3 linked regions of the Sus scrofa genome follow. The protein of the gene in region 3 interacts with the protein of the main gene of each other region in a biochemical or structural test. Links are inferred from orthologs where the notes say so. Each region holds a gene or a part of one and is shown on either strand. Other genes may lie near its edges.

Region 1 (6,003 bases), on a different chromosome or scaffold from region 3:
AGACACACTGAAATGCAAAACAACCACTTAAGTATCAACTGTGCTGAAGTTAAGTTGCTATAACCGAGAATCCTTTTCTATAGGCCAATGTCTCCCACCACTGCAAACCCCAATCCTAAGAACTTTTTAACTCATTGTTTTGGGGGTATCCACTGACACTGTGATGATTCAGTTGTTCACAAAGTCCAGATCCCAACAAGTGAGTCAAATGACATACCAGGAAATCCCAAGACTGAAAAAGCTTTCAAGGCATAGCCAGGTATTTGGCCTCAACTGCGGCACATACTCACCCAGATCTTGATGCTAGGGCCTGTAGCAGCACAGAGCCAGTAGCGATTGGGACTGAAGCACAGGGCATTGATGATATCCCCACCATCTAGCGTGTAAAGGTGCTTGCCTTCATTAAGGTCCCACAACATGGCCTGGCCATCCTGAGCAGAGAGGGGATGCAAGTCAGGGCAATGTGACTTCTTCCAGATGTTAATCCCACTCATCTCAAGTCTTAAGAACTAATCAATCAATATCAATATGCTTTCCTTTAATACATGACACCTCACCAATCCTATCAAGACACAGGATCCTAATCTCATCAATAGCTTTAAGAAACCAGCCTCACAGCAGACAATCTCGGCAAAGAGCACACCTTTTCTGTCATTTTCTGCATGGTCTTCAGAAACATTTATTCTTGTATTACTATTTCATTATCTTAAGTATTCTAAGACACTGTCTGTCCCACTTCTGCCCCCGCCCCTTGAGGAGACTCCTGGCCTTTGAATACCTTGCCTCCAGAAGCACAGAGGGATCCATCTGGAGAGACAGTCACAGTGTTCAGGTAGCCTGTGTGGCCGATGTGATTGGTTTTCAGCTTGCAGTTAGCCAAGTTCCATACCTAAGATCGTGGGTCACAGGTGAAAAACCTGGCCCTGGATCTGCCAAGAGGGCTCAGGCCAAATAAAAGGCATAGCACAATGTTTAAAAGCATTCCTGAACAGGGAAGCCAATTTCAATTCTATAAGTAACAAAAAAGGTCAAAGAATTTGTCCTGAGCACTTAAGAATAGTAAGATTAAAACTGGAAATTGGAATTGGGAGTTTTCCTGGTGGCGCAGTGGGTTAAGGATCTGGCAATGGCACTGGCACTGACGTGGCTCAAGTTGCTACTGTGGCATGGATTCCTGGCCCCAGAACTTCCATGGCCAAAAAATAAACATTTCCCCCCGCCCCAGAAATAAATGATTTGTGTTGCCACCAAGGGACACTAATTTACCAATTAGCTACTTCAGAATATATATAAAAAAGTAATGACCTATACTGAGAAAATATCAAGAGGATAAAGGTCAATTGAGGGACACAGCTTTCAAAGCTGGAGCTATGACCAACTAATTGGGAGGCAGTGGGGGTTGGTATAAAGGCCCTACACCCTGGCTCCAAGCTCACCTTGACCAGCTTGTCCCAGCCACAGGAAACAATAATGGGATTGCTGCTGTTGGGTGAGAAGCGGACACAAGACACCCACTCTGAGTGGCTCTCATCCTGCAAAGGATGGAAGGAAAATAAGATACTAAGCAACTCTAGATCACCAACCCTTCCCTCAGTTACAGGGATATATTTTGATAGCCTTGTGTTCACACCCCCAGAACCCAAACCCTCAATCAAGATTGACAGAATTGCTTTAGATCCCCAAAGAGGCTTGAAATCACCACATAAAGCCAAAAGGATGGGAGAAAATGTTCAACATGTGTTCCCTGCGTGTGCCCTCACTTTACCTGGACAGTGTATTTGCACACACCCAGAGTATTCCATAGCTTGATGGTTTTATCTCGGGAGCCAGAGACAATTTGTCGGTTGTCAGAGGAGAAGGCCACACTCAGCACATCCTTAGTATGGCCTACAAATCGGCGCGTGGTGGTGCCCCTGAGAGGGAGGACTTGGTTACACTATGGATGGACTTTGCAAATATTCTCCCAGTCATAACTGTTTCCCTAGGCTGGTTCCTGTCCCAATGGAGCTGCACTACTCACACAACCCTGGACATGGTTTGGTAACAGCAGGCCCTTGGCTGGAATATGCAAGAGAATCCCTTCAGAATTGCAGGACATGTCCTCATTCCCATGTGGGGATTGGCTGACAATGTCATTGGTCATCACCAGGATCCTCCATTATGCCTGACCAACCAAAGACTGAGCTCCCAATATACAACAGGTTCAAACTGTTGCCCACTCCCTAGTGCAGTACCTGAAAAAACTGCTCAACCAAACCACTTCACAGAAATTTTGCATAATAACAAATAAGGAGGCAGGCCAAACAACCAGAACTCTTTTCCAGATATTCTCTTACACAGTGAACCTGATCTCTCCTGGGAAACTACTTCCAGAAAGTATCTACCTCATTTCTACCCAGCTTTCCCCCAATGCCCCCAAACAGGTACTTGCGTTGTGAGATCCCAGAGGCGAAGGGTTCCATCCCAGGAGCCCGAGAGGGCAAACTGGCCATCTGAGGAGATGACCACGTCACTAACAAAGTGGGAGTGACCCCGAAGAGCACGCTGTGGGATTCCATAATTGGTCTCATCTCTGGTCAGCTTCCACATGATGATGGTCTTGTCTAAGAGGAGGTAAAAAAAAAAACAGAGGAAAGCCACTGAGAAATCCCGCAGCCCATCTTCTGACCTACTAGATAATCCAGGATACCTCAAGGTGATTGACGGGCTCACAAGTTAAGTACATTAAAGGGGTAGGGGAACTACAGGTTATGAAAGCAGTTCCCAGTCAGGGCCAAATGGTCAAGAGTGAAAAAGCTATGAGAATTTAACTCAGGTGTTTGGAACTTTTCCAGATTATGGATGCCTTTTACAGATATTCGCACCAACTCAACGTCTATTTCAAGTTTTTTTCTGAGTTCTAATGGATGGGTACAGCACTCTAGGTGAGAGAAAACTAGCTGTGAGCCTCCAGAGACTACTGCTGGGGCCTCCAGAAGTTCTGAAATTAGAAGTCACTTTAGGCTCTACAGGACTGGGTTCTTTCACTTCAATGCGTTCTACTCAACAAACTTTCTGATTAAAACCCCAAACGCAGTCATATACAAAGAGAATGAGGAAAAACCGAGGGCAAAATCGGCACACGTTGACATTGCAATCACTCCACTTCCAACCGAGTAGAGGGCCGGGCGGCAGCTCAGAAACAGCCTCTGGGTTTCAGCATGGGCACTCAGATGGCATGTTGGAATCATCACCGCCCCGTCCGGCCCCGAGGCTCCTGGGCACACATCCACTTAGATAAGTCGGCCAGAGATTTAAAAGAAGTCCCCAACCCCCTCCTGGCAGCTACTGGGTGGTCTATGTTTCGCAGTCTGCAAAGTGGGGACGCCTCAAGGGTTTAACCACGCTGAGGCCTTACGCACGGGTCAGCTCACACCCTAACCGAATTTTCAGGGCCGCTACTTGGCGGTCTACTGGCCCAGCCATACAACGTGCGCAATCCCCTACTCCCGTATCCTCTACACCGCACCTCAGTCCGTACCTCGAGAAGCGGACAGTATCATGTCCGGGAACTGGGGAGTGGTAGCAATCTGGGTCACCCAGCCGTTATGGCCCTTGAGGGTGCCACGGAGAGTCATCTGTTCAGTCATGGCGGCAGCAGATGCAGATGTCGCCGGAGCGACGAGGATGGTACCGGATAGCTCAGAGAGACGACCTGCACGGCCTCTCACGCCGAGGCCCGGCTGAGGAAAAGACCGAGCAGTGGCATGCCGGAACCGGAAATACCCTCCCTCTCCGGAAAAATGGTGCCCTCCCACAATGCACTCCTGCTCAAGATGGCGGCACTACATAGTGCCCGGGAGGAAGCAAAATAAGACCTGATGGTTCCCTGCTCCGCGCGACCTAATTTGGCAGCACTGTAAAAATGAATTCCAAAACCGACACGCCAGAGTATTTTAAAAGGCTCCTCAAAGGTTGATTAGGGAATGATGTCTAAAAAGCGGAAGACGGGAAGTGCTCGCCCCATTCCCGTAAGGATAGCCTAGCGCCTTCGCTTCCCGTAGGTCGCACCGCGCGAACCCCGCCCCTTCCGCTTCGTGGCTCTGAGAGCAACACAGAGGGCGTTTAATATCGAGGCCGCAACTGTGAGTAACGGTGGGCAATGTAAAAAATCCGGTGTTAAGTTTTAAAAATAAACTGTGCTAAGGTGAACTATTAAACTCTAACAGATATACATGCGCGGGGGACGACTCTTCTCTGGAGAGGTTTATGCTCTGATGTTTTTGGCTGAGGAACTCCATGCCCAGAAAGACTGAGTTCAGCCAGGACTAAGGCAGAAATGGGTTATGGAGCGGAAAACCGAGGATGAAGGAAAAATCCTTATGTGGGCTGCTGGGCAGTCACCCCACTCCTGCCTCGGCAAGAGCGCGGAGAGCTCTCGCGGAAACTGAGCGGTCCTAAGAGGAAGGACCTGTGGGTTCTGACTTAATGTGGGCTCGGGTCAAAACCAGCTCCTGGCCAAGCCACCTCATGGAAGGGCCGTGGGTCTGGGGCGGGGGGGGGGGGCGGTGGTCCTAGGCGTGCCCAAGTATTTCCTGTTTGTAACTTGTATTAACTTAATTTCTTATCAGTCAAACGAGTTTGGGAGTAATAGTACCTACCTCCTAAGGTATTGTGGAGAGTAAATGAGTTAAGACAGGTAAAATGCCCAAAAAAGTGGCTGGCAGAGTGAATGCGCCCAACTTAACATTTGAGTACCAGACTCTTTATTTTAGATCTTGGGGATATATCTCTGAAGAGGAAGAAAGGGACCAGGTTTAGTTTGTTTTTAAGTTTACAGTCAATGCGCTGGAGAGAAGAGAGCTTGAAGGGGAGACTTTAACAAAGACAGGAAGATCTGGGAGAGAACCCCGTGGATTTATGATGATGTAATGTCCCAGTCAATGGTTACATATAGAGAAAGTCGGAGGGAAGGGTCAGTGATAAAAGTCCTGAGCTGGAGCGTTGGAAGCGCTTAGGACGGAGGGTCGGAATAATGAGATGGAGGTGGGGCGGGGGAGCTGACAGAGGGCCTTGCAGGCTGGGGGAAGGACCGCGGAAACCCCAACCAGAAAGCCTGCCTTTGAGAAGGAAGGCAGGGGTAATGGCGAAGCTGCTGTTGGCTGTGGCCGCTCAGGTGTGCAAAGAGGGCCGGAATTTCCTCGCTTGAGAGCAGCTACTCTCCTGCTGCCCCTGCAGACCCCTGCTTTCCTCTGCAGCCACGTTCGGGCTCGGAAGGGTGCAGTCTTTGTTAAGCTCCTCCACAGCCTGACAACTATCCTCCCAGACTCCCAGCTTTGTGCATCACCTGCCTCCATGACACCCCCAACGGCTGTCCTGTCACTTTCTCCGGCTTTGAAGGCTACCCCACCCACGTGTTTTGTTTCTGCTGTGGTCATGGGAGACCATTGCCTTTACCTACCCCACTATCCAGCTTGCTGCCCACGACTTGGGCCATGCCTGAGTCCTTCTGGGCACTGGGCACAATGGAGAGGTGAACAATTCTATTGCATCTCAGTGTGGAATATGAGGCCTGCTGAGCAAAATCTCCTCTCAGTCCTCAAGAACCCTCGATTCTCCACCTCCTACCTCCAGTCCCCAAAGACACCATCACTAATCACACATTATTACACTTTTTCCCCCAAGAAACCTCTTTCTGGCTCTGTTTCTTGAACTTCGCCCAGGGAAGATCCCTATGGAATGTGGACCCCTGAGGGTAAGCCCAACCTTGCCTCAGAGACCTTTCTGTAAGGCCAGACTCCTTTCCAGAAGCTCCCAGCCTAGCTCCATCCTCTGGGGTCCCCCAAGTTCACCTTGCTTCCTTGTCTTCCCTCTGTACCCGGACTGCAGAAAGTGACTTTCACATCCGGAGGGCCTCTCCCCTTCCTTGTCTCTACTCTTTTTTTTTTTTTTTTTGTCTTTTGTTGTTGTTGTTGTTGCTATTTCTTGGGCCGCTCCCGCGGCATATGGAGGTTCCCAGGCTAG
Region 2 (6,218 bases), about 84 Mb from region 3:
CACTAGCTAGGAAATCAGGGACAAGTCATTTACCCTGTCTGAACCTGTTTTCACATTTATACAATGTGTCGAGCAGTGGAACCTGCCCATGGGCGGTTGTGAGCATTAAATCAGAGAATGGATATTAAAAAGCTTGCCATATAGAAAATTCTTGACCAGCGTTGACTGTCATCATTATTCTCAACTGTCCACTTACTATTTCTACCTGATTATCCCATCATCACTTTGAATTTAGTATGTCTGAAACCAAAATCCTTGTCTCCCTAACTCCCTGATCTGCGGCTATCTCTTTGGCTATTTCTTTGAATGGACCATAAAACATAATATCCTCTCTAACACGTCCTCTCCAAAAACCATATTCAATTAGTTTACAAAACATGTGGCTTTGTTCTCCAACTGTCCCTCTATCTGGTTGGTTTCTTTTTCTCTGTTGTCACCAGCCCCCAGACCTTGATGAACTGTACTCTTTGCCCCACCAGGTCCTGCCTGGAATGGGAAGATCTTATTGATGTCATTTCCCTTTTCAAAACCTTCAGTGGCTCTCCAGCATCTTGAAATCAGATTTTAACTTCCTTAGTCTGGCATTGCAGTCCCACCTCAACCTAACCCCCACCTCCTCCAGAAGCTTTTCTTTTACTCCATATGTGTATTGTTTCTGCTCCTGTCAACCTGGTTCCCTGGAAAGGTTGCCAGATTTAGGAAATAAAAAACACAGGACTCTCTGTTGAATGTGAATCAGATAAACCACAAACATGTTTTGTTTAAGTATATCTCATGCAATAGGCCTCTCATACTGATACAATAGGACATACTCTTACTAGAAAAAGTATACGTTGTTTATTGGAAATTCACACTTGAGTGGAAATCCTGTATTTTATCTGGTGACCCAAGTCCATTGCTATCTCTGCCCAGGCACACAGATCCTTCCTTGTCTTGGATGCTCTTATCTCTTGCTGTACCCATCAGATCTCCTTCTGCCCTTCGAGGCTGGGCTCAACCTCATTCTTCCATGAAGCCTGCTTAGATCAGGGCTTCCTCATCTGTACACATTATCTATACCACCCATTTGGTTCCATATACAGGATGTCTTGTGTTCCACATAATTTCCTTGCTCCAAGTAAATGCTGAGTTTATCAAAGACAGAGATTATATTACAAGTAGGAGAACTTAATAAATATGCTTTGAAGGTGTAGGGTTGCTGCTGACCTGTCAAACAGGATATCAGGAGATGAGAGCATAGGAGAAAAAGAACCTCCAGAGGCCACTAATCTGGATGTAAGGTGCTCATAGACCCATGAACATCAATTTTCACCTCCCCCTCCTCCCACAGCAACAGGCCAGGTGGGTATGTCCACCTGACCTTGGCACGCATCTCCCTATGTCCCTCTTCAATAAATCCTGCAAACTGTGGATTGCACTTGGCAACATCTAAATTTCTTAACACTCCACAACACTCTCATCAGTAACCTGATTTCAGTGATATTTCAATGGCAGGGTCAAAGGTGGCTGTCCTGTGCAATCTGTAAACATACAGTGATTACAGGAGTTATGCTGGAAACCCAGAAATAAATGTCTATTTATTTAACAGAGAAGCTTTAAAAATTGGCAGCTTTTTTTCCCCCCAAATTTTCTAACTCTAATAATGTAGCATATTCTCAGGAGCTTCAGAATACATCCAGAAAGCTGTGACATTGTTAAGCCACGCTCAAGAAATCTATTTTAAATAGCTGGCATTTCATGAATACATTCATAAGCAACTATGGAGCATCCAGAAACCAATGACCAACAACAAAACTTTTAAAAGTGAAAAAAATACATATTCTTAGAATAAAATAGATAACTCGTAGTTTTATCTATTGTTTCAACCTTCAGTAGTATTTAAAACTTTTTTTATTCTTGTAATGTATGTAAACATACAAAGGTGTCAAATGAGAATGCTGTTTTGAAACTGTAAGAGGAAAACGTTCAACGTTAACACAAGTCAGGATCATTGTAAGCAATGTGGACCCATGTGGAGTGGCAGTTAATTAGAGTACTATAGGTTTCACTTTGTGGAAAGAGTAAAATAGATTCAGCCCTGAATTCAGGACGTTGCAGTACTGGCATGTCCTAGAAACGAGTGCTCAGAATTTGTTTCCTCAGACCCATCATATTTGTCCAGATTAATTTCACTTCCCCCTATTTTTTACAACCTACGTTTAACTAAGAAATATTGCTCTTTCTAGTCAAGCATATTTTTTCTCCGCTATTTCCATGGAATGAATTATAATTTTCTAATCAGAAGAAAATAACCCTTAAATTCTTCCAGGAAAGAGAACAGTCGGTGAGCTCCATAATGAGACAGCACTGAGCCCGTGGCCTCCTGTGTCAATTGTCATCTGGCTGGCTCAGCTATTCTGGCTTCCAGCTTTGCTATCTTCTTACAGCAGATGCTAAACATACCAATCTCAAACTGGGGTAAGCCAAAATAACAGCAATACATTTCCTTCTTCCTTTTCCCGAAACCACCAGAACCCCTATTCCTTTGTTTGACATGGGCATGACATTAATCAAGTTTTTCCAGGACACAGATGTGGAGGTTAGCAGTGGTGGATGAAAGTATGGTCATCATGGAAACAAATGTATTTGTTTGATGGCAAGAAATGTTAAAAGAAGTTACAATGTCCCCATCTCTCAGAGTTTTTGTGGGCAGCATCAAGAGCTCTCAGATTTAATCCATTTCCTCTTGACCTTTCCACTTCCAAATCCAGGGACCTTTGTTCAGGTTACTCAGAAAATACATGTTCAATGAATGTTTTGAAATAATAGCTTCAGTGTAAATAATTGTGAATTCCAGGAGACACTTTGTATAGAAAAAAATTAATTTTCATTTTATATAAAATTTAAATTTTTTAGTTAAAAATAACTTTTCTAAAATAGGTCACACTAGCTTGGAAGCATATCTAGTAAATGTATTCTAAACCAATAGCGATACCAGAAAAGGGCACATGGATTATTAATCAGCACTTTGAGAAGGATAGAAAAACAGACAAATATCAAGGATTTTTCAAAATGATCTTCAGTGAATTTATTTATACTATTTGATCCCCTGCTGGTAATGAAATGAAAGAAAACTTAGTGGCGATAAAATTATCTTAAGGAAACAATTATTTAAAATTTTTATTCCTGTTAAAAAGTGAAGATGGCATAGCCGAGGCTGATCTGCACATTTCTTCAGAGATAGAAGCAAAGTTCATGAGCTCTGCATGAGGACCTGCCCTCAGATTATATACACTGTCTGTGACCAGTATCCATGGTACATGATATGAATGTAGACACAACAATGTACGGTCTTAAAAAGGACACTTACCTTAACTTGCAGTCGTGGAATCATTTCGAGCGCATCTCTTTATCAAATCCTCTCTTTCGCACTGCTTCAACAACTCTTAACAAGTTTCTCTTCCACGTGTTGGAACACCTAGAGAATCCTGTCCTCTCTTCTAAAACGCTGCATTCACCTCCATTGCCCAAATCCAGTTCAGAATCGGGAAGAGGAAAAAAAATTGAATTTGCAAGCTGTTTACACCCTAACAACGACAGTGAAGCTGCTAAGCTTTGAGCTCAATGAATTAAAGGTTGTTTGGCTAAATGGCAGGCACACTTCCTCCTATTCTTTCTGAACTTAGTTTTCCTGCCTCCAGCAGAGCTTTTTCCTTTCCTGGGCTATAAATAGGCTGGTGGTAAGAGCACTGAGGAAAGAAGAGGGCAGGAAATGCATTTGATTTCAAAAAGCAGTCTTGGGGGTGCGTGTGTGTGTGTGTGTGTGTGTGTGTGTGTGTGTGTGTGTGTTTCTTTCAAGTGAACACCAGTAAACAAGGAAAATTCAGCTTTGATCTGTGCACCATAGCCAACATTTTCTTTAAATTCCTATAACCTTGGTTTGGCTCTAAGTTGTCATTTCCCATAAACAAATCTTGGGTTTGGAGATGTATCATTTTTTTCATATAAACTGTAAACAACCTACATCTCAGCCTTCATTTTTCAAAGGATTGCTCTAAAAATCGAATTTCCTGGGGGAAATGAGGAAGGAGGCAGACGGGGGTAGGGGTGGGGGTCATGCCATAGTTGTTTCTTTTCATTCAGAAGGAAATGAATCAGTATTTCTTGAGGCAAGATTCAGCAAAAGGAAAATATCAGGTGAACAAGAAAAGCAGATGCTTTTGAGTGAATGAAAGTATGAAGTTGAATTTGTAAACCATTTGCAGCCAATTGCGCTAAACTAATGGATTGTCCACAGTCTTGTTACTCAGAGTTGTTTAACTTCTCTCATAACTGTATGCAACACAAACGAAAATAAAAATTAGATGTCATTTTCTACATGTCAGATTGGCAGATCAAAATTTTGGCTATTGTCCGATGTCCCTGAAGAGTGAAGAAATAAGCATCCAGGAGTTGCCGTCGTGGCGCAGTGGTTAACAATCCGACTAGGAACCATGAGGTTGCGGGTTTGATCCCTGCCCTTGCTCAGTGGGTTAACGATCCGGCGTTGCTGTGAGCTGTGGTGTAGGGCGCAGACGCAGCTTGGACCCCGCGTTGCTGTGGCTCTGGCGTGGGCCAGCGGCTATAGCTCCGATTCGACCCCAAGCCTGGGAACCTCCATATGCCACGGGAGCCGCCCAAGAAATAGCAAAAAGACAAAAAAAAAAAAAAGAAAAGAAAAGAAAAAAAAGAAATAAGCATCCATATAAAGTATTTGGAAGTATACACTGGAATAAACTATTTGATAGATGGTAATTTTCAACTTCTTTCAAAATGTTAAGAGCACATGGTCTAACAAGATCCCTAAACATGCTTGACTCTGCAAAGTGGGCGTGGGTATCTGGAATGGGTGGGCAGTTTAATTTCTGATATATTTTTGCTCTTTTCACTTTTATACTGTGTATACCATGCTTCAAAAAGTGATTTATTTTATTTTTTAAGTATAGTTGATTTAAAATGTTGGTTAATTTCTGCTATATGCAAAGTGATTCAGTTACACCTAAATTTTTTTTCATATTCTTTTCCATTACAGTTTATCACATAATATTGAATATAGTTCCTTATGCTATACAGTAGGACTCTGTTGTTTATTCATTTAATATGTAATAGTTTGCGTATACTAATTCCAAATTCCCAATGCTTTCCTCCCCCACCCTCTCCTCCTTGGCAACCACAAGTCTGTTCTTCATGTCTGTGAGTCTGTTTCTGTTTTGTAGATAGGATCATTTGCACCATATTTTAGATTCCACATATAAGCGGTATCACATGGTATTTGTCTTTCTCTTTCTGACGGACTTCGCTTAGTATGATAATCTCTAGGTCCATCTATGTTGCTACAAATGGCATTATTTCATTCTTTTTTGTGGCTGAGTAGTATTCCATTGTGTATATGTACCATCTTCTTCATCCATTCATCTGTTGATGGACATTTAGGTTGTTTCCATGTCTTGGCTATTATGAAGAGTGCTACAATGAACATAGGGGTGCATGTATTTTTCTGAATTATAGTTTTGTCTAGATAATATGCCCAGGATTGGATTGCTGGATCATATGGCAACTATATTTTTAGCTTTTTGATAAACTTTCACATTGTTTTTCATAGTAGCTGCAACAATTTATATTCCCACCAACAATGTAGAAGGGTTCCTTTTCTCAACACCCTCTCCAGCATTTGTTATTTGTAGACTTCTTAATGATGGCCATTCTGACTGATGTGAGCTGACATCTCATTATAGTTGTGACTTGCTTTTCTCTAATAATTAGTGATGTTGATCATCGTATCATGTGTTTTTTGGTCATCTGCATGTCTTCTTTGGAGGATTGTCTTTTTAGGCCTTTTCGTGCATTTTTCAGTTGAGTTATTTTTCTGATACTGAGTGGTATGAGCTATTCATATATTTGGGAAATTAAGCCCTTGTGGGTCACATCATTTGCAAATATTTTCTACCAGTCCACATGTTGTCTTTTTGAAAAACTTACTAATTTTAAAGACAGAAATTTAAAAACTGTTATTACTTAAGGTCCTTCATAGGATTCTATTCGTTATCTATTATCTTACCTATCTGTGAATCATTATGTACTTACTGTCTCAACAATCTTCTCTTTACATTGGGGTAACACTTTGAGAAGCAACACTGGAATATCTAGAGAATCTCTTGACAGGAGGGGCAACTCAGAGTGTTGTCCACAGACCAATAGCA
Region 3 (5,555 bases):
ATGGTCAGAGATGCTTGAATCCTTCTCTCCGAGACCCCACTGAGATATAAGCATGGAGGAAAGTGAAAAGACAGCAAAGAGCAACTTTATTGTTAGTGGGGGGTTTTGCCTCAAATCTCAAAAGAAGATGCCCTCAGGGACTCCCTTTTTCTATACTGGGTCAGTCTAAGGACATTTAAAACAGCGTCAGACCAATTCTTGGTTCCTCTAAGGTCACGTATCAGGGAGCCCAGAAGGAGCACAAGAAACCAGGAGGAGGAACTTACTCTGGGGCTTGCAGTGGAGCTCGTCTAGGCTACGCATGCCTGACCTCTTTAGGGGGAGACCCTGGGGACCTGGCCCCAACCTCCTGGCAGAGGAGAGAGCTATTGGGAGAGAAATAGAAAGGTGGCCAGAGAAGCTTTTAAAGCCTTTCAAGCTCCACCCACTGAGGCTGGGCCAATCAGTGTCTTGGAATCTGACCAATCAGATAGGCTCTCCTCCTTAGAGGCTGAGTAGGAGGAGTGAGAGAAGCCCTGAGCGCCCCCTCAGGCCAATACCCATCATGAACTGGTGTTTCTTTCTACGTGGATTTGAGGCACTCATTTTTCAATTTTAAGGTGAATTCTCAAAGGTCAGGTACATGGGAAACGTTTTATAGCTCTGAGCCCTGGGACTCTTTTCAGGAACGGGATGTGTGTCTTAGCCCAGGCATGGGAGCCTTTCGCTTTTGTCTTGGGATTTCCAAGCTCTGCTGTTACTGCTGTGGTCCTCAATCCTCAAGCAGAACAGGTGGCTGCTGGAGCCTTTTTGCATCCTGGCAGCCCTGCAGGGTCCCGTGGCCAGAGCAGAGCTGACCCAGCTTCTTAAACTTGGCCATTCAGAACTGTGCAAGGGTCATCACTTCGTCTTTCTGACCCCAGAGGCTTGGAACATCGGAAGAGAAACTTTGTAGCTCATTAAGATGCAGGAGTTCCCCTCATGACTCAGTGGAAATGACTCTGACTAGAATCCATGAGGATGCAGGGTTTGAACCCTGGCCCCGCTTAGTGGGTTAAGGATCTGGCATTGCTGTGAGCTGTGGTGTAGGTCGCAGATGTGGCTCAGATCCTGGCTGTGGGTAGGCTGGCAGCTACAGCTCTGATTCAGCCTGGAAACCTCCATATGCCGCAGGTGCAGCCCTTAAAAAAAAAAAGGAGAAACTGCCACACCTTTTTTTTTTTTTGGAGGGGCTCTACCATTTTGCACCCCCTGCCCCCAGTATTTGCAAACGTTCCAGTTGCGTTTTCTCTTCTCCAGCCCTTAATGTTGTCAGTATGAATTTTCTACCACTTCAGCCATTCTAGTAGGTATAAAGATTATTTTTAAACTTTGAACCTAACAGTTTCCTAAGGAGAAATGCTTATCATTTTAATAGCACAGAATTCGTGCTTATTCTCTTTACTTGCTTACTTGTTCACTTTCTGTCTCTGTTACTAGGATAACTTTTAAAAGGCACCTGCATCAACTAACAAATGTGGATGGATGGGTGGATGGATGCATGAATGGTTTAGGGAGGAGGTGGGTAGTGTATAGCAAAGGCTAGGATGTCCGATCAGCCCTGGGTTAGAACCTTGGGCCCGTTCACTTCTGTAGTATACTCTTTCCCAGAGAAAGCAGTTTCTCAGGCTGGGTCGAGAAAGAGAAGGAATTTTAAAAATTTATTTATTTATGTTGCTTTTTAGGGCCACACCCATGGCCTATGGAGGTTCCCCGGCTAGGGGTCATATCAGAGCTACAGATGCCAGCCTACACCACAGCCACAGCCACAGCCACAGCCACGCAGGATCTGAGCTGTGTCTGCGACCTACACCACAGCTCACGGCCACGCCAGATCCTTAACCCACAGAGCGAGGCCAGGGGTCAAACCCACAACCTCATGGTTCCCAGTCGGATTTGTTTCTGCTGTGCCACGACCAGAACTCCAAAGAGAAGGAATTTTTGTTGTTGGTGGAGCATCTCTTGGAGGAGAAAGACGTTGTGTAGTGCCATAGACTCATGAAAGGCATGGCACGCTTGGGAGTATGACCAAGTCCTGGGTCCTGAAAACATAGTTGGGATCACGTGGGGGATGTATTCATAATAATACTAAAGCTTATACTGCTTACTGTGTGCCAGGCGGGTCCAAGCTCTCTACTTGGGTTAATTCACTTATTCTTCCTCATGCTCCTGTAAGCTTATAGTGCTATCACTCTCTCCATCATACAGACAAGGACAGTGAGGCACAAATAAATAACTTGTTCCAAATCATGCATCTAACAAGAACCCAGGCAGTTTATGCTCCACTGTCAGTACCTTTCAGTAATGCACTGCACTGCTAGGTTACAAAGGCCAAGTTAGTTAGTTAGGGAACAGCAGAAGCTGCTATAACAAACACCCCCCCCCCCCATATAGTGACTTGAGAAAACAGAAGGTAGATTTTTTCGGTCAAATGTGTGTCCCAAGGGACAAAGTCCAGGGCTGCTGGGTCCAAGTTTGGGTCCAAGGTGGTCACGTCCACATCTTACCATCTTCCAGCCCGTGCCAAGGGACACAGGGAGCCAGGGAGGCTGTACATCTTCCTTTTAAACACGTATCTCCCATGGGCTAGATCTCGAGCTGCAAGGAGGCTGGGGCATGTGGTCTTTAATGGAGCAGCGATGCTCTCTGCTAAAACTCAAGGGATCTGTTTTTAAAAGGAAGAATGGATATTGGAGGAATGCCGGTAATCTCTGCCACCACCTACTGACTATGCATCCTGAACTCTGAACTTTGAACTCTGTCCTGTAGTGATGAGGCCCTAGCAAATAGCCTCTAAGGGGGGGAGGTTTCATGCCCGGACTTGGGTTTTAGATCACTCCAGGAGTTGTTCAGAGGACGAAGGAAAGAGAAACAAGGAAACCTGTTGACTTGATGTGTCTGGCGTTTTGTTTGCTGTCTCTGGAGTCCTTGCTGGAGGCAGGACTCAGCAGGCTGGTTTCCCAGATAGAGGACGTGCAGGCACAGTGAGTGAGTGTGCTGGGGTGGGAATGGGCGCTGTCAGTGGTCTTAGTCCATTCATTCATTCATTCATTCATTCAGTGACTCTTTATCAAGCGCCGTGTCTGGGCACAGGACCCTGCCAGTGGTCCCAAGAGGTACACGGAACGCTGGGGGCCAGGTTCCGTTTTTATTAAGTTCTCCAGTGATGCTCAGTGCAGTGTGACTTCTTGGCATGCCACTCTGATGCCAGTCTCTTTGTTGGTTTCTTTGGACCTTAGGACCCCCGGAGCAAACACAAGTTCAAGATCCACACGTACTCCAGCCCCACGTTTTGTGACCACTGTGGGTCCCTGCTGTATGGACTCATCCACCAGGGGATGAAGTGTGACAGTAAGTACTCAGTCCGCCTCTGCTGTCGGGGCGCCTCCCCCGGGGTCTGCAGCACCTTCTTCCGAGTGCAGGGTAGGCTGGGTACCACTTGTCTGTTGCAGGGTAACGGGAGCCATTTGTTTAGCTCATGATGCTGCCAGGCTGTCCTTTGGGTCTGGACTGCCCTTGCTCATGCCTGTGTGGTCGATTAGTGGGTTGGGGTGGGTATTTGTCTGGGCTTGGAGGGCCTCACCCGCATGTCTGGAAGGATGGCTGGCTGTCACATGAGTGATGGGGATGACAGGGCCACGAGTCTTTTATCCCAAATGGGCTAGCCTAGACTTGCTGACATGGAGGTCCCACGTTCCTTAAGAGGGCAAGTCCCACTGAGCAAAGCGAGTCACACAGAAAGGTTCACAGCCACTGTGAGAGGGGACACAGGGAGGCACAGACACATTGTGGCCGTGCCTGCAGCCATGCACACAGCTGTTTCCAACACTGATATGCAGCACTGAGGCTGTTCTTTGCAGAGAGAAAAGACACCCGCGGTTTATACCAAAAGAGGGGAGAGGGTGTGATTCTCAGGCCAGGCTGGGGCGGGAAGAGGCTGGAGAGGGCAGGACTCCTCTTTATTAAAGAAAGGACTGAATGGCCCATGGGGTGGGACAGCCAGCAGGCTCTGAGAGCTGCAGCTTCCCCTGCAAAGGGACGGGGCGAGGACAGGGAGCTCCGTGCTGGCCGGGGGCCTGTCGACCTATAGCAGGCAGAGCCGTCACGAAGCCAGACTGTCTGAGGACAGAGGGAGAAATCCTCAGGGGCAGAGAGTGACTGAGAGGGATGGATGTGGCTTTGGAGGGAGCGGAAGGGAGGGAGAGAGAGAAACACACAAGTAGAGACAGGTGGATGCTGGGGCGGGGGGAGGGGTTGGGGGCAGATGCCATGTGGGTCCAGGTGTAGGGGGCGCCCAATGAAGCTGCAGAGGGACCCTGCACCAGAGAGACTCCAGCAGAAGGAGGGACGGAGGATGAACCAACAGACACAATGACTGGAAGTGACACAGAGGTGCGCTCACACGGGCTCCTGTGGGAGATGCAGAGAGAGCAGAAACAGAAACACACATGGAGAGACACACACACACAGAGATGGAGGCAAAGAGACGTGATGCAGAAACTATTCCCCAATGCATCTGTGGTCCCAAGGCATGTGTGGGTGCGTGCGCGCGCGTGCGCGCACACACACACGCACACACAGAGGAGCAAGGACCAGGAAAGAGACAAACGCCAAGATGGGTACTGAGAGACAGGCGGGCACAGACACAGGATTAGAGCCGCAGAGACACAGTAGAGATCGGAGCTCCCAGGCAGACACTTGATAGAGGCTTGCAGGACACCGACTCTTCTGAGCTGCCGTGGGGCCCCAAATTTTTCTCAAGGACAGAGAGGGGTGGGATGGGGGCACTTGAGCTGACACAGAGCCCTGAATTTGGGCGCTCAGGTTCCAGGGGGCTCTCCCTTTCTCCTTGCTCACCGTCCTCCCCCCACAACTCATTCCCAGATTTGTAATCTGCCTGCTGCCTCCTGGAGCTTGGGCGGGCTGAGAAGGGGCGCCCTTGGCACCCCCTGCCCCTGGTCGTGCCCTGCTCCTAGCTCCTGTGGAATCCCCTGGAATGCAGACCCTGTAGGGGGGTGATCCAGCCTCTCCTCCTGGCTGCTCAGACTGGAACAAGGGGGCCCCTTGGGAACACTGGACTCCAGGCACAACTTCCTGGAGCAGCCATGGTGCCAAAGAACTTGGGGGAAACCAGCTACCCACTGAGAGAAGCACAGAGGCCCCATGGGGGTGGGGTGGGGGGAAAGGGGGCATGCGTTTATCAGATCGCAGAGAACCCTTCAGAGTGTCAGGTTCAGTTTGCAGACATATTTCATTCATCTTACCCTGGGTCTATTTTTTTTTTTTGGTCTTTTTTTTTTTTTTTTTTTAGGGCTGCACTGGTGGCATATGGAAGTTCCCAGGCTAAGGGTCGAATCAGAGCTACAGCTGCTGGCCTATGCCACAGCCTCAGAAACTTGGGATCCGAGCTGCATCTGTGACCTACACCATACCTCATGGCAACACCGTATCCGCGACCCACTGAGTGAGGCCAGGGATCGAACTTGCATCCTCATGGATACTAGTCGGATTCGTTTCCACTGAGCCATGATGGGAAC

What was found. The genes of interacting proteins can lie anywhere in the genome.
Region 1: the proteins of PRKCB (region 3) and RACK1 form a complex in vitro, tested with the Homo sapiens proteins (2 studies listed by BioGRID). The link is inferred for Sus scrofa from reciprocal best matches to the Homo sapiens genes PRKCB and RACK1.
Region 2: of the proteins of PRKCB (region 3) and RASGRP3, one has a biochemical effect on the other in vitro, tested with the Homo sapiens proteins (2 studies listed by BioGRID). The link is inferred for Sus scrofa from reciprocal best matches to the Homo sapiens genes PRKCB and RASGRP3.

What each region holds. Positions count from the first base shown.
Region 1 is NC_010444.4:57,277,905-57,283,907, reverse strand, and holds the start of RACK1 (receptor of activated protein C kinase 1), read right to left. Parts: upstream 3,717-6,003; 5' UTR 3,630-3,716; coding exon 3,521-3,629; intron 2,604-3,520; coding exon 2,432-2,603; intron 1,914-2,431; coding exon 1,766-1,913; intron 1,533-1,765; coding exon 1,437-1,532; intron 890-1,436; coding exon 779-889; intron 432-778; coding exon 291-431; intron 1-290. UniProt on the Homo sapiens protein: Scaffolding protein involved in the recruitment, assembly and/or regulation of a variety of signaling molecules. Interacts with a wide variety of proteins and plays a role in many cellular processes.
Region 2 is NC_010445.4:106,210,072-106,216,289, forward strand, and holds the start of RASGRP3 (ras guanyl-releasing protein 3), read right to left. Parts: upstream 3,717-6,218; 5' UTR 3,350-3,716; intron 1-3,349. UniProt on the Homo sapiens protein: Guanine nucleotide exchange factor (GEF) for Ras and Rap1.
Region 3 is NC_010445.4:22,180,448-22,186,002, reverse strand, and holds part of PRKCB (protein kinase C beta type), read left to right. Parts: intron 1-3,257; coding exon 3,258-3,369; intron 3,370-5,555. UniProt on the Homo sapiens protein: Calcium-activated, phospholipid- and diacylglycerol (DAG)-dependent serine/threonine-protein kinase involved in various cellular processes such as regulation of the B-cell receptor (BCR) signalosome, oxidative stress-induced apoptosis, androgen receptor-dependent transcription regulation, insulin signaling and endothelial cells proliferation.